Linked DNA regions of Ovis aries. The protein of the gene in region 2 purifies or fractionates together with the protein of the main gene of each other region. This does not show direct contact. Links are inferred from orthologs where the notes say so. Each region holds a gene or a part of one and is shown on either strand. Other genes may lie near its edges.

Evidence for each region. The genes of interacting proteins can lie anywhere in the genome.
Region 1: the proteins of HDAC1 (region 2) and E2F1 purify together in Homo sapiens (affinity purification with western blotting; 5 studies listed by BioGRID and IntAct, with this or other methods). This does not show direct contact. The link is inferred for Ovis aries from reciprocal best matches to the Homo sapiens genes HDAC1 and E2F1.
Region 3: the proteins of HDAC1 (region 2) and TRERF1 purify together in Homo sapiens (co-immunoprecipitation; 5 studies listed by BioGRID and IntAct, counting the BioPlex papers as one, with this or other methods). This does not show direct contact. The link is inferred for Ovis aries from reciprocal best matches to the Homo sapiens genes HDAC1 and TRERF1.

Annotation. Positions count from the first base shown.
Region 1 is NC_056066.1:63,133,772-63,137,217, forward strand, and holds the end of E2F1 (transcription factor E2F1), read right to left. Parts: coding exon 3,297-3,446; intron 2,371-3,296; coding exon 2,256-2,370; intron 2,156-2,255; coding exon 1,930-2,155; intron 1,812-1,929; coding exon 1,564-1,811; 3' UTR 501-1,563; downstream 1-500. UniProt on the Homo sapiens protein: Transcription activator that binds DNA cooperatively with DP proteins through the E2 recognition site, 5'-TTTC[CG]CGC-3' found in the promoter region of a number of genes whose products are involved in cell cycle regulation or in DNA replication.
Region 2 is NC_056055.1:235,252,775-235,257,696, forward strand, and holds part of HDAC1 (histone deacetylase 1), read right to left. Parts: intron 3,821-4,922; exon of another isoform or gene 3,666-3,820; intron 3,364-3,665; coding exon 3,251-3,363; intron 1-3,250. UniProt on the Homo sapiens protein: Histone deacetylase that catalyzes the deacetylation of lysine residues on the N-terminal part of the core histones (H2A, H2B, H3 and H4).
Region 3 is NC_056073.1:16,008,897-16,012,396, reverse strand, and holds part of TRERF1 (transcriptional-regulating factor 1), read left to right. Parts: intron 1-824; 5' UTR 825-1,082; coding exon 1,083-2,492; intron 2,493-3,500.

The DNA.
Region 1 (3,446 bases), on a different chromosome or scaffold from region 2:
TTGCCTTCTCCTGGTTGGTGTATTCCTCTTCCTTCTCAGTTAATTTCTACTATCCCACAGCCTTAGGTCAGGCACCACCTTTTCCAGGAAGCTCTCCCTGATTTTCTCGTTTATTTGAGAGTTTCCTCCAGCAGATTCTGAGAGCTCCACAAAGGGAGGAACACGTCCCCAGAACCTGACACAGAATCAGCTGGTTGTAATTATCTGCTGCCTGTTTACAAATGTCCAGAAACATCTGGACGGAGCATAGCCAACTGATCAGGGTGGCCTCTCTGTGGCTGGAAAAAGGAATTCATTGCTTACTTTACTCAACCAGTTTTTTAATTAGGATTAAAAAAAGGTGATGAAAACGATTATTCTTGGGGCTGTGAGGCTCAAATAAAATGAAGCCAGGCAGGGACAGGGAAACGTAAAGTAGGGAATGGTCATCACACCAGCAACCTTGACCTCTCCCACCCACAGACCTGCTCCCAGTACAGAGTCCCCAAACAGGGCCCAAACACCATCAATATATTTATTAAAACCAAAGCAGAGGGAACAGAGCTGTTAGGAAGGCAAATCAAAGTGCAGATTGGAGGGTGGGGCAGAGCAAGAAGTAGGGTGGAGGGGGCACTTCAAACGCCACAGGAAGGGCCCCTGTGGTCTGGGCTGGGGGGGGGAGGCCCTTCACCCCACCCCTCCCGCCCACCCTGTCAGTGAAGGTCCCCCACTCACCTCTCCCATCTCACATCCATCCTGGGGGCAGCTGGGGCCCTGCAGGGACCCCGTCGGGAGGGACCACCCCCTCAATCCACCCATGGCTGTCAGTCAGTCAGTCTGTGTCTCCCTCCCTCGCTTTCCGAATAAATAAACCACTCAGGCCTCAGCTCCTTCGGAGTGGGGCAAAGAACAGCTCAAGGACCCCTGCCCTCACTCAGGGAGTAAGGGAGTTGCGGCACCAGTCCCACATCCCTCCTACCCTTTGCTGATGCCCCAAGCTTGCCAAAAAGGCCTTGATAAATAAATAACGCTCCATTAAAGCTTCAATCAGAAAAACCTTTAAGACGATAGAAGTGCTCTCGCTGTCCTGCCAACAAGCAGGCCAAGGCCTCGCCACCTGGCCTGGTCAGCACACAGGATTCTGGGGGCAGGTGGCCACCCTGGGCCTCATGGGGCCCCTGGAGCAAGAAGACCAAAAGTGCAGTTAGAGCCCCCACCACGCGCACACATGGACTCATGCACACACACGTGGACACACTGGGGCGTGTTTTCAGTGCACGCACAGATGTGTTCACCTTCATTCCCCGGGACATGCACACACACATGCTCACACACCACTCACCCCGTGGACACACACGTCGGGGCTTGGGTGCATGCACAAACACCACAAACAGAATTCTTCCCTTCCTGGCTTGCTCAGCCTCCTGGCAGGAGCCAGGCTCCAGAGCTAGAAGCCTCTGGAGGTAGGAGAGAGGGGCATAAATTAAATGTTTCCAATTAGGCTAGGACGGCCAGGGGCGGGGGGCTCCAGGGCTGCAGAGACGGGGTGGGCATCTCAGGAGGCCCTGGTCCCCCTGAGCCCCGTCAGAAATCCAGGGGAGTGAGGTCCCCAAAGTCACAGTCGAAGAGGTCTCTGATGCCCTCACCCTCCTCGAGGCCAAAGTGGTAGTCGAGGGCCTCGTGGGGGGGCGACAGGCTGATGAACTCCTCGGGGAGGAGGCCGGAGAAGTCCTCCTTCACGTGCTCCAGGAGTGAGTCGGCCGCCACGAGTGGGGACAGGCGGTCCTCGTCCACGGGGGCCCGCAGGCCACCCATCCGGGAAAGCAGAGGCTCTGGGGAGATGCAGGAGCATCACAGCCGGGGACACCCCCGGCAGGGAGGGGCTGACACACCTGCCCACCCACCTCGGGGAGGGGCCGGGCCCACCCTGCCCACCCGGCCTTCACCAACCTTGCTCCAGGCTGAGCAGGGACTGACTGGGATCCGTGGCAGGGGATGAGGGAGGTGACGACGGTGGTGGTGGCACCGCGGTGGCAAGGTCAGCTGCCCTCTCCTCCTCCCCCGAAGCTGCCCCCTGGGACGGGGTCTTTCCAGGGCTGGTTCCGCCCACACTCTCCTCAGGGCACAGGAAAACGTCGATGGGGCCTTGTTTGCTCTTAAGGGAGATCTGAAAGTTCTGGATGGAGGTAGCAGGCAGGGTAAACTGAGGCTCAGCTGGACTACCAGCCCAGCCCAGTCCAGTCCATCCTAGTCCCGTCTAGACTCCCAGGTCTCACCTCCGAGGAGTCCACGGCTTGGAGCTGGGTCTCAGGGGGGGCCTTGATCACCATGACCATCTGCTCTGCAGGGTCTGCAATGCTACGAAGGTCCTGGCAGGTCACATAGGCCAGGGTTGGTGGAGTCAAGGACCACATGATCTTTGGCCTTTGGGGGCCACCCACCCAGACAGCTCAGAAGGCAGAGCCCATCGCTGCCTAGTCACTCCTGTCCTCTGCATCACCCACTCCAAGGCCTGGCACATGGTTGGGGGTCAAGCAGATCTCATGCCCTTGAGCCTGCTTCTACATCTATACAATGAGATCACTCTACCTATTGAAGCTCAAGGTAATGACAGCTGCCTATAATCATTTCATAAAAATTACTTAAATCCAGGCATAGTCCTAAGAATTTATTCTGACCCATGACCTTGATGTCAATTAGTGTGTGTGTGTGTGTGTGTGTGTGTGTGTGTGTAAGTGTTAAATTCTCAGTCATGTCTGACTCTATGACCTCATGGACTATAGTCCACCAGGCTCCTCTGTCCATGGAATTCTCCAGGCAAGAATACTGGAATGGGTTGCCATTCTCTTTTCCAGGGAATCCTCCTGACCCAGGGATCAAACCCGGGTCTCCCACACTGCAGGCAGATTCTTTACCGTCTGAGCCGTTATCTCCAAAATGTATAAACATAACTTCTTTCAAAATAAAGTTTATATTTTTGCAAATAAAAGCAACTCTAACCTTGAAGCTACAACCAGGTATTAAATCCCTGTATTAAATAAATGTTATCCCTGTGTTAAATAAACCAGTTATTACTGATATTAGCTTTTCTGGTTTTAATCCGAAAAGCTTTGAAGTAGGATTGTTTTTCCCCTTTTCCAGAGGAAGCTGAGACTCAGAGAGGTTAAGTAACTTGTCCAGTGTCACACTGGGAGTGAATGCTGAGCCAGGACCGGTATCCAAAGCCAGAACTCTTTCCTGAATCCAGGGCCCAAGGTAAGGCCCTCCACTCCCACTTAGATGGGGCCCTGGTGACCCTCCAGGCAGTTCAAGGATATCGCTGGCTGTCCGCATCCTCGGAGAGCAGACGCAGCTGGGTGCTGCAGATGTGGAGCAGGTGATCCAGCTGCTGCTCGCTCTCCTGCAGTTGCTGGAGGTCCTGGGTCAATCCTTCAAGCCGCCCACCGATCCCCACCGTTGCATGGTTG
Region 2 (4,922 bases):
ATATTCCTTTTCTTAAACAAGGTACTATTAATAATAATGTGATTCTTTATACTTTACATATATTTTATAAAAATTCTTTCAGATCTACGCAATATTTTATAAAAACATTTAAAAAAAGGAACAGAAGGCAATGAGTAAGAAGCCTGGGAATATACAAAATCAGTATCCAAGGCAAGGAAGAGAGCAGGATTCTTAATTATGTAAATAGGAAGATGCCTGGATGAAAAGTGAGGATTTGATTCTGGGAGAGATTAATTAGATGTGCAGAGAAAGAACTGGAGAAGGAACCCAAGAAGGTGAAATTGTGTGAAAAAGTCTTCAATCTGTCTCCTTCAGGTATAGAAACTTCTATGAGAAGTCTAGGGAATTTCTTTCAGGAGTTAACTCTCAAAAGCCATTAATTTCAGGACAGACACTAAAATAAATGGCTATTTGTCCTTTGGGAAAGGGATGCTAGGATCATAGCCCAGAGAAAGGAGAAGAAAGAAGAGATCAACAGAGAAACGCTGTTGCGAGAAGAGGACTAAAGATTCATACTCAATAAAGACGTAGAGCCAGGGACTTCCCTGGTGGTCCAGTGGTAAAGACTCTGCGCTCCGGGTACAGGTTCGATCCCTGGTCGGGGAACTAAGATTCCACAAGCTTTGCAGTATAGTCGAAAGATTGAATTTTTTTTTTTTGGGGGGGGGGGGGGGGAGATAGAACCAGAAAAGGAAAAAGATCACATGAAAGAGAACATGGTCTAGCGATTTCAGCAAGAGATTACACTGGGCTTTTGCTTTAGTTTACAATAAGAATACCACACAGATGAAGTAATCTCCAATAAGGTATTATTATCTCCTATGACAGCCATGGTTGGTTACTTCCCAAAGAGCTATTCTCTCCCTTCCCTCTTTTTAACAGATCTCAATTTGGTTGGGTATACCCAGCCCCAAGGATCAAATTGCTGGTGAATGGTCTAAGTATGGCAAATGACCCAATGAGACTTAAAGGGAAATCTGTTAGGAAGTTGCTAGGAAGGGCTTTCTTCTTTAATAAAAATAGTATAGGGTAGGCACAGCGGAGAGTGATTAAAATCAAGGTTGCTATAAAGATTAAGTAAATAACAGTAGCCCTGGCTTGGTACCTAGCAATCTTCAACAAATGTTAGTTAATTTCTCCTCTCACTTAAAGATATGACCCTTTTTTTATTATTAATATATCAGTATCACTCATGGAGGTTAATAAAGTCCCTGGGTTATAACAAGTACTCAACAAAAATCTGTTGAATGAAAAAAAGAAACAGTGCTTAACGCAACTCTTGAAAATGAGAAAGATATGACTAGGTGGAGTAAATAATCCTCCCCATCAGAATGGGGTGGAAAGAGGCAGAATCTGATCTGGCTGAAATGGAGGGTTCTGAGGGTGGAGTGGCAGGGAGGGAGGCAAACTGAGGCCAGGTGAGCATGGCTGAGATGTGCAACAGGCAGCCCCGTGGAGCCCTGGTGCTTACTATTCCACATTCAGGTACCCTCTCTGTATCTAAATACTAGTCTGTTCCCTGGAGTCCCTGAAAACCTCTGCTATCTTTTATGTTTTTCATTCCCAGATGCCCTTCACACCTGAAAATGCTCTCTGGTCCCAAGTTCCATCTGCTCCTCCATCTACCTTCCCTCCTTGCTTCCCCAGCTGCCTCCAGGGGCTCCAGAGACGTGACACGGTCGCCTGGGACAGAAGATTCCTCTCCTTTCAGTCTCTGGAATGGTGGGGAAGGATGCTGCTGCTGCTAGGTTACGTAAGCTGTCGGCACAGACTTCATCAACTCTTACATTCTAACCATAAGGCAACACAGGCCCCCAGCCCCTCCTTATTTTCTCATTTGGACTCTTGCAACAGCCTCCTAACTTAGCCTCCCTGCTTCTAAAATGCATGCCTATTCCTATTTCTCATTTAAAATACTTCACTTGGGACTTCCCTAGTGATTCAGTGACTAAAACGTCACGTTCCCAATGCAGTGGGCCTGGGTTCAATCCCAGGGTTAGGGAAATAGATCCTGCATGCCGCAGTGAAAGGCCCTGAATGCTGCACCTGAAGAGCCAGCACACCACCATGCAGACAGAAGACGCTGTGGGCCACAGCTAAGAGCCGCACAGCCGAACAAATAAACAGAACGTTTTGAATAAACACTTCTTTTGTTTTTTACAGCCTCCAGAAAAGTTCAAATTGGGAAACTCTGGACCAAATTTGGCTCACAGATATGTTCATGCACTTTTGTTCCTACATGTTTCCAACAAACCTGGGCCAACATTTTAAACCTTGAAGACTCTATGTAATAATCCAGAGTTCTGGCTTCTCTTTAAAAACCACTATGTGCTTGGTCACTCAGTCGTGTCTGACTCTTTGTGACCCTTTGGGCTACAGACCACCAGGCTCCTCTGCCCATGGGATTTTTCAGTTAACAATACTGGAGCGGGTTGCCATTTTCCTCCTCCAGGGGATCTTTCCAATCCAGGGATGGAATCCATGTCTCCTGTGTCTCCTGCATTGCAAGCAGATTTCTTTACCCGCTGAGCCATCAGGGAAAACTGGAAGATGTGGCAAAAGACATCAGCTGGAGCCAGGCCAAATGGCTAGAAAGTCCATACGCTCCAGTAACTATAGAGACTTGGTATCTAGTTCAACACAGTTCCAATCACTTAGTTTTTAGGGACTAGATTTTTTGACCCTGGCCTAGCAAAACTGCTTAATATAGCACACCCAACTCTTGCTGACCTCTCCAGCTCTAGCTCCCCTCTCTCACACTTGCCAACTTTATACTGCAGCAATACTTGCACACTAAACTACTTACATTTCCCTAAACACATCATATTGTTCCTACCTTTCTGCCTTTTTGTATATGCTCTTCCCTCAGCCTAGAATGCTAGTCCCCTCCTGAACTCCAGGCTAATTTCTATTTAATCTTTAAAACACTGTTTAGCTATCACTTCTAGGAAACATTCCAAGGCTCCCTTCCACATTCCACCTCAATATCCCTGAATCTTACACATTTTTAAGTCATTGCCCTTACACACTCTAGTACAATTTGTGTACATGTTGTTCACCAGCACTAGAGTGAGCACGTTAAAAAACAATCTCTACCATTTACAATGTCTGCCACGTAACAGTCACTCAACACATTTCATGAGTAATTGAAAAAAAAAGAGATAATGAATGATATATGGGGAACCAGAGCTGAAGAGGCTAGGGAGGGGTGAAGCTCCCAGTAACTCACATAGATTTCCATCTTCCGGTAGAGACCATAGTTAAGGAGTAAATTGTGAGTCATACGAATTCGGTGAGGCTTCATTGGGTGGCCTTGTCCATAATAGTAATTTCCAACATCCCCTGAAGAAGAAAGAGTGACAGCTTCAGTGACACAGTTAGACACACACTCCCAGGAGAACCCACAGATTTTTACAACAAATTTCTAGGCAAATTCTGTCTGGTTCATTCTAGGCTCCAAGATTCTCTCCCACATCAAGGAAGGGTAACTCCAAAAGAAAACAAAAAGCAGGGGACCGTAGTGAGATGAGCACTTAAGGATGTCTGTCTGGCCCAGTTTTTTCCCTTGGAACCCAAAGGCATTAGACAGTGTGAGTGGGTCAGTCCAAAGCTACTGGGGAACATCGGCCAGTGAGGTGACTCACCTCACTGTCTCCAAGGAATTCACTCCCACAACAGAAAGAATAATCATCACTACTCAGAATTACTGTAAGTCACAGTTCACCTCCTGCACATCAGAACACTTTATGATGTCAAAGCACTTTTGCAATCACTTTCTTACTGGATTCTCACAAATACCCTGGAAAATAGTTAAGACAGGGAGTATTATTCCCATTTTATAGATTAAAGACTAAACTCATCATCTCTGTAAAAATTAGCTTATCCATTAATTTTCTTTTTCTATTTGGCTGTGCTGGTCTTCACTGCTGCTCAGGCTTTTCTCTAGCTGAGGAGAATGGGGGCTACTCTCTAGCTGTGGTGCTCAGGCTTCTTATTGCAGTGCCTTCTGCTGCGGACCACGGGCTTTAAGGTATGCAGCACGTGGGCTCAGCAGCTGTGGTTCTCCGGCTCTACAGAGCACAGTCTCAATGACTGTGGCACATGGGCTTAGTTGCTCCGAGGCATGTGGGATCTTCCCAAATCAGGGACTGAACCCATGTCTCCTGCACTGGCAGGCAGATTACCACTGAGCCACCAGGTTGGTTGGTTGTTTAGTCGCTAAGTTGTGTCCACCTCTTGCAACCCCACGGACTGTAGCCTGCCAGGCTCCTCTGTCCATAGCAGAGCCACCAGGGAAGCCCCATAAACTCACCATCTCTTCATTTATCCATAGCAATAACCTTCCACTGGTCCCTCTGCTGTCAGTTCAAACTATCTGCCATACCAGTTATTTTCCTAATACACAGCTTTGATAACATCACTCCCCTACTCAAAAATCCTTAATGGTTCCCCATTTTCTATAGGATAAAGCATAAAGAACAACTTCAATAGGACTTTCTTAATCTATTTTTCCAACTTCTTACCACAACCACCCTACCCCAACACACACACCACACACACACACACATTCTGCTCTAGACGTTGGCAGGCAAATCTGGGTTATTTAACTGGTTGCTTGATTTTTCTAAATAAGATGTTACTGGAATACAACAATGCCCATTAGTTTTATTATCTATGACTACTTTTACATTATAATGGCAGAGTTGAGTAGCTAAATAGTTACTACAGAGACTCACCCATATGGCACGTGCATGCTAAATCGCTCTGGTCATGTCTGACCTGCCAGGCTCCTCTGTCCATGGGATTCTCCAGGCAAGAACACTGGAGTGGGCTGCCAACTCCTTCTTCAGGGGATCCTCCCATCCCAGGGATCAAACCCACATCTCATAAGTCTCCTGCAT
Region 3 (3,500 bases), on a different chromosome or scaffold from region 2:
AGATTCTTAACCACTGGACCACCAGGGAGATCCCCTAGTTCATGTTTCTAAGAGAGGGAACTTGATTGGCTCCGCCTATTTGTTTACCTATTTATTTATTTATTGAGTCCAGGCCCATCACAGACTTCTGGCCAGGTGATCAGCAATGTGCACAGATGTTTCTTTGAGCAGGGATACCAAAGGATCAAGTAGCTGTGTACTGACGTGCACTGCTCTTCTTTGAAACTGTTCTTCTGCTAGAAATATACCCTCCAGCCTATGAATTCCATATCTGTTATTTTCCCCTTTCTGTACATGTGTCTCTTTCATCCTTGTACTGTAGTTATTCATGTGACCAACTCCTTTTTCCAACTGTGAGCTCCTCAAGATCTGGCCCATGTCTTAATCATTCCCTTAAGCATTGTGTCTTCCACTTAGTAAATGTCTTTGTCTAATAAGTATTTGTTTACTAGATGAATTGATTTATGAGTATCAATCATAATCTTAAACTTCTTCATATCCTTTTAGGCCCTACAGTAGTGCTGGGCTTTCGATAGCAGGGTCCCAGAAGAACGGATGAATTAATCAGTGAGCAAAACAATGAATTAACGAATCAATGAACTAATGAGCCGTTGAGCAATAGCTTGAAAGTAAGAGAGTTCACATCTTATGTGAGGGTCAAGATCTGCGGAATCAGTGTAAAGGTGTGGCGTGTATGAAACTGGCTATTTTTAATCCAGGCTCCCGTTTTGTGTTTATTTCTCTAATGAGTCGTGGTAGATACAGTTGCTCATTGCAAAACAGCCAAGTAAGTCCTTTCCTGTCCTTTGCAACTTGTCTTGCAGGTGTGAGCAGCATCTCTTCACCACGGTGGCATTTGGTCCGTCCCTTAGCCCGGGTGAGGATGTAAAACCCCTCGCTCTGCACATGCGTGGTAGAGGCCAACAGGAACACCTGGCTGCAGCCACGGTCACGGACATGTCAGCCGTGGAGTAGTGTGGACGCTTTCTCTCTGCTTCTCAGGGTTTCAGTCCTTTCGGGTTTGTGTCATTGACCTTTTTGTATGGTTTTGTGGCTGGACGTTCACAACCAGGGCAGGCACCATGGGGGACCAGCAGCTATACAAGACCAATCATGTGGCCCACGGTGGTGAGAACCTTTTCTACCAACAGCCACCACTTGGCGTCCACGGCGGGCTGAACCACAACTATGGGAATACAGTGCCCGGGGCTGGAATGGATGCCCCTCAGGCATCACCCATCTCCCCCCACTTCCCTCAAGACACTCGGGATGGTCTAGGCTTGGCTGTTGGCTCCAAAAACCTTGGCCAAGTGGATACTTCGAGGCAGGGAGGGTGGGGAGGCCATGCAGGGCCTGGAAACCACATCCAGCTACGTGGCAACCTGACCAACTCGAACATGATGTGGGGGGCACCAGCCCAGGCGGAGCCCACCGATGGCTACCAGTACACCTACTCGCAGGCCAGCGAGATCCGGACCCAGAAGCTCACCAGCGGTGTCCTGCACAAGCTAGACTCTTTCACCCAGGTGTTTGCCAACCAAAACCTGCGAATTCAGGTCAACAATATGGCCCAGGTGCTGCACACCCAGTCAGCGGTGATGGACGGAGCACCCGACAGCGCCCTCCGCCAGTTGCTGTCCCAGAAGCCCATGGAGGCCCCAGCACCGGCTCTCCCGTCCCGCTACCAGCAGGCGTCCCAGCAGCCTCACCCTGGTTTCACTGGTGGGCTATCCAAACCGGCTCTCCAGGTTGGGCAGCACCCGAGCCAAGGGCACATGTATTATGACTACCAGCAACCGCTGGCCCAAATGCCAGTGCAGGGAGGACAGTCGCTGCAGGCCCCCCAGATGCTATCCCAGCACATGCAGCAGCTGCAGCCGCATCAGTATTACCCGCCACAGCAACAGCCACACTCCGGGCAGCAGCGGGTGTCCATGCAAGAAATGCAGCCGCCGCCGCAACAGCAGATTCGCCCGCCACAACCCCAGCCACAGTCGCAGCCACGGCAGGGTTCAATGCAGATACCTCAGTATTACCAGTCCCCACCCATGATACAGCCTTTGCCAGAGCCGCAGCAGCCCCAGATGCACCTGCAGCCCCCTTCTTATCACAGGGACCCCCACCAGTACACCCCGGAGCAGGCGCATGCAGTCCAGCTGATTCAGCTGGGCTCCATGCCCCAGTACTACTACCAGGAGCCCCAGCAGCCCTACGGCCACCCCGTGTACCAGCAGAGCCACCTGCCTCAGCACCAGCAGCCTGAGGACAGTCAGCCCAAGACTTATCCAGGCGACAGGCAGGCGCAGGCCATGCTGAGCTCCCACGGGGACCTGGGGCCTCCAGATACAGGAATGGGAGACACAGCCAGCTCCGACCTGAACCGGGCCAGCAGTGCCCTCCCGCACCGGCCGCTCCTGTCCCCTGGCAGCATCCACCTCAACAACATGGGGTCTCAGCACCAGCAGCTGTCTCCCAGTGCCGTGTGGCCCCAGGTATCCTCAGAGTGGACGTTCATCCCGGGATCTCAGGGTGCGCGTATGCCAGCCAGAGCTGAGTCCAGTGCAGTGCCTAGTCCCATCCTCCAAACCCCTCCGACACTTTCGTTCTTTTCTTTATTCCACAAACATTAACCAGACATTGTGGAATACAGAATCAATTGTGACTCAGTCTTTTGCCCGTAGAGCTTATAATCTCACTAAAGAGGCGGCCAAAATATATATCAGGTCCCAGATGATGCATGTCATGGTCAAGGCCTCATCAGGTGCCCAGGGACCACACAGTGGGGGTGTCTTGTCCCCTTTAGGTCTGTATCCTTAGGGGACTTCCTGTGAAATTGTTCCCTTCTGGGGAGGGAGACCATATTATGACAGCATTTCTCAAAGTCTATTGCTCAGAATAGGAGTTCCATAGAATGTTCAGTGGACATTGCTCGGGGGAGGGGAGTGGGTTCTTGGGAGAAATCAATATGAAGGGATATCTCATGTAGTTGCAGACGTGAAAAACCTTAGCTGCCCACAGGATCCAGGCAGGTAAAGTCAATAAGCAGAATGGCCTGATGTGGATTTTGTGGACTGGAGGGCCAATGCCCCAACTAATGATATCCACAGTCAGGGTTTTTAAAAACAGTCCAGCCAAGCAGACCATGTCTGCAGATCAGAGTCAGCCTGCGGGTGACAGGTATTAACTCTTAATTGTTTCCCAAATAGATTTGATCATAAAATTGCCTACTGTGTGCTGGGCACCATTCATGTTTTGGTGTGTTCCAAGTGCTACACTCAAGTGACAACAGATTCAAGGGAGGAGGGTACCTTGAATAAAACCAGGGTAAATGAAGAGAGGGCTCTGATGAAGGCTGAAGGCCAGAGATAACTCCCTCTGACCCTGTTTTGTTTAGGACTCAGGCCAGTAGTAACTGAGAGCCTTTGTGAATGCAAGAATAAGATGGCATGGCCCAGGCTAAAAAGAATTCCAGCAGGAGGTCTTGTGTGAGGCTGTATCTT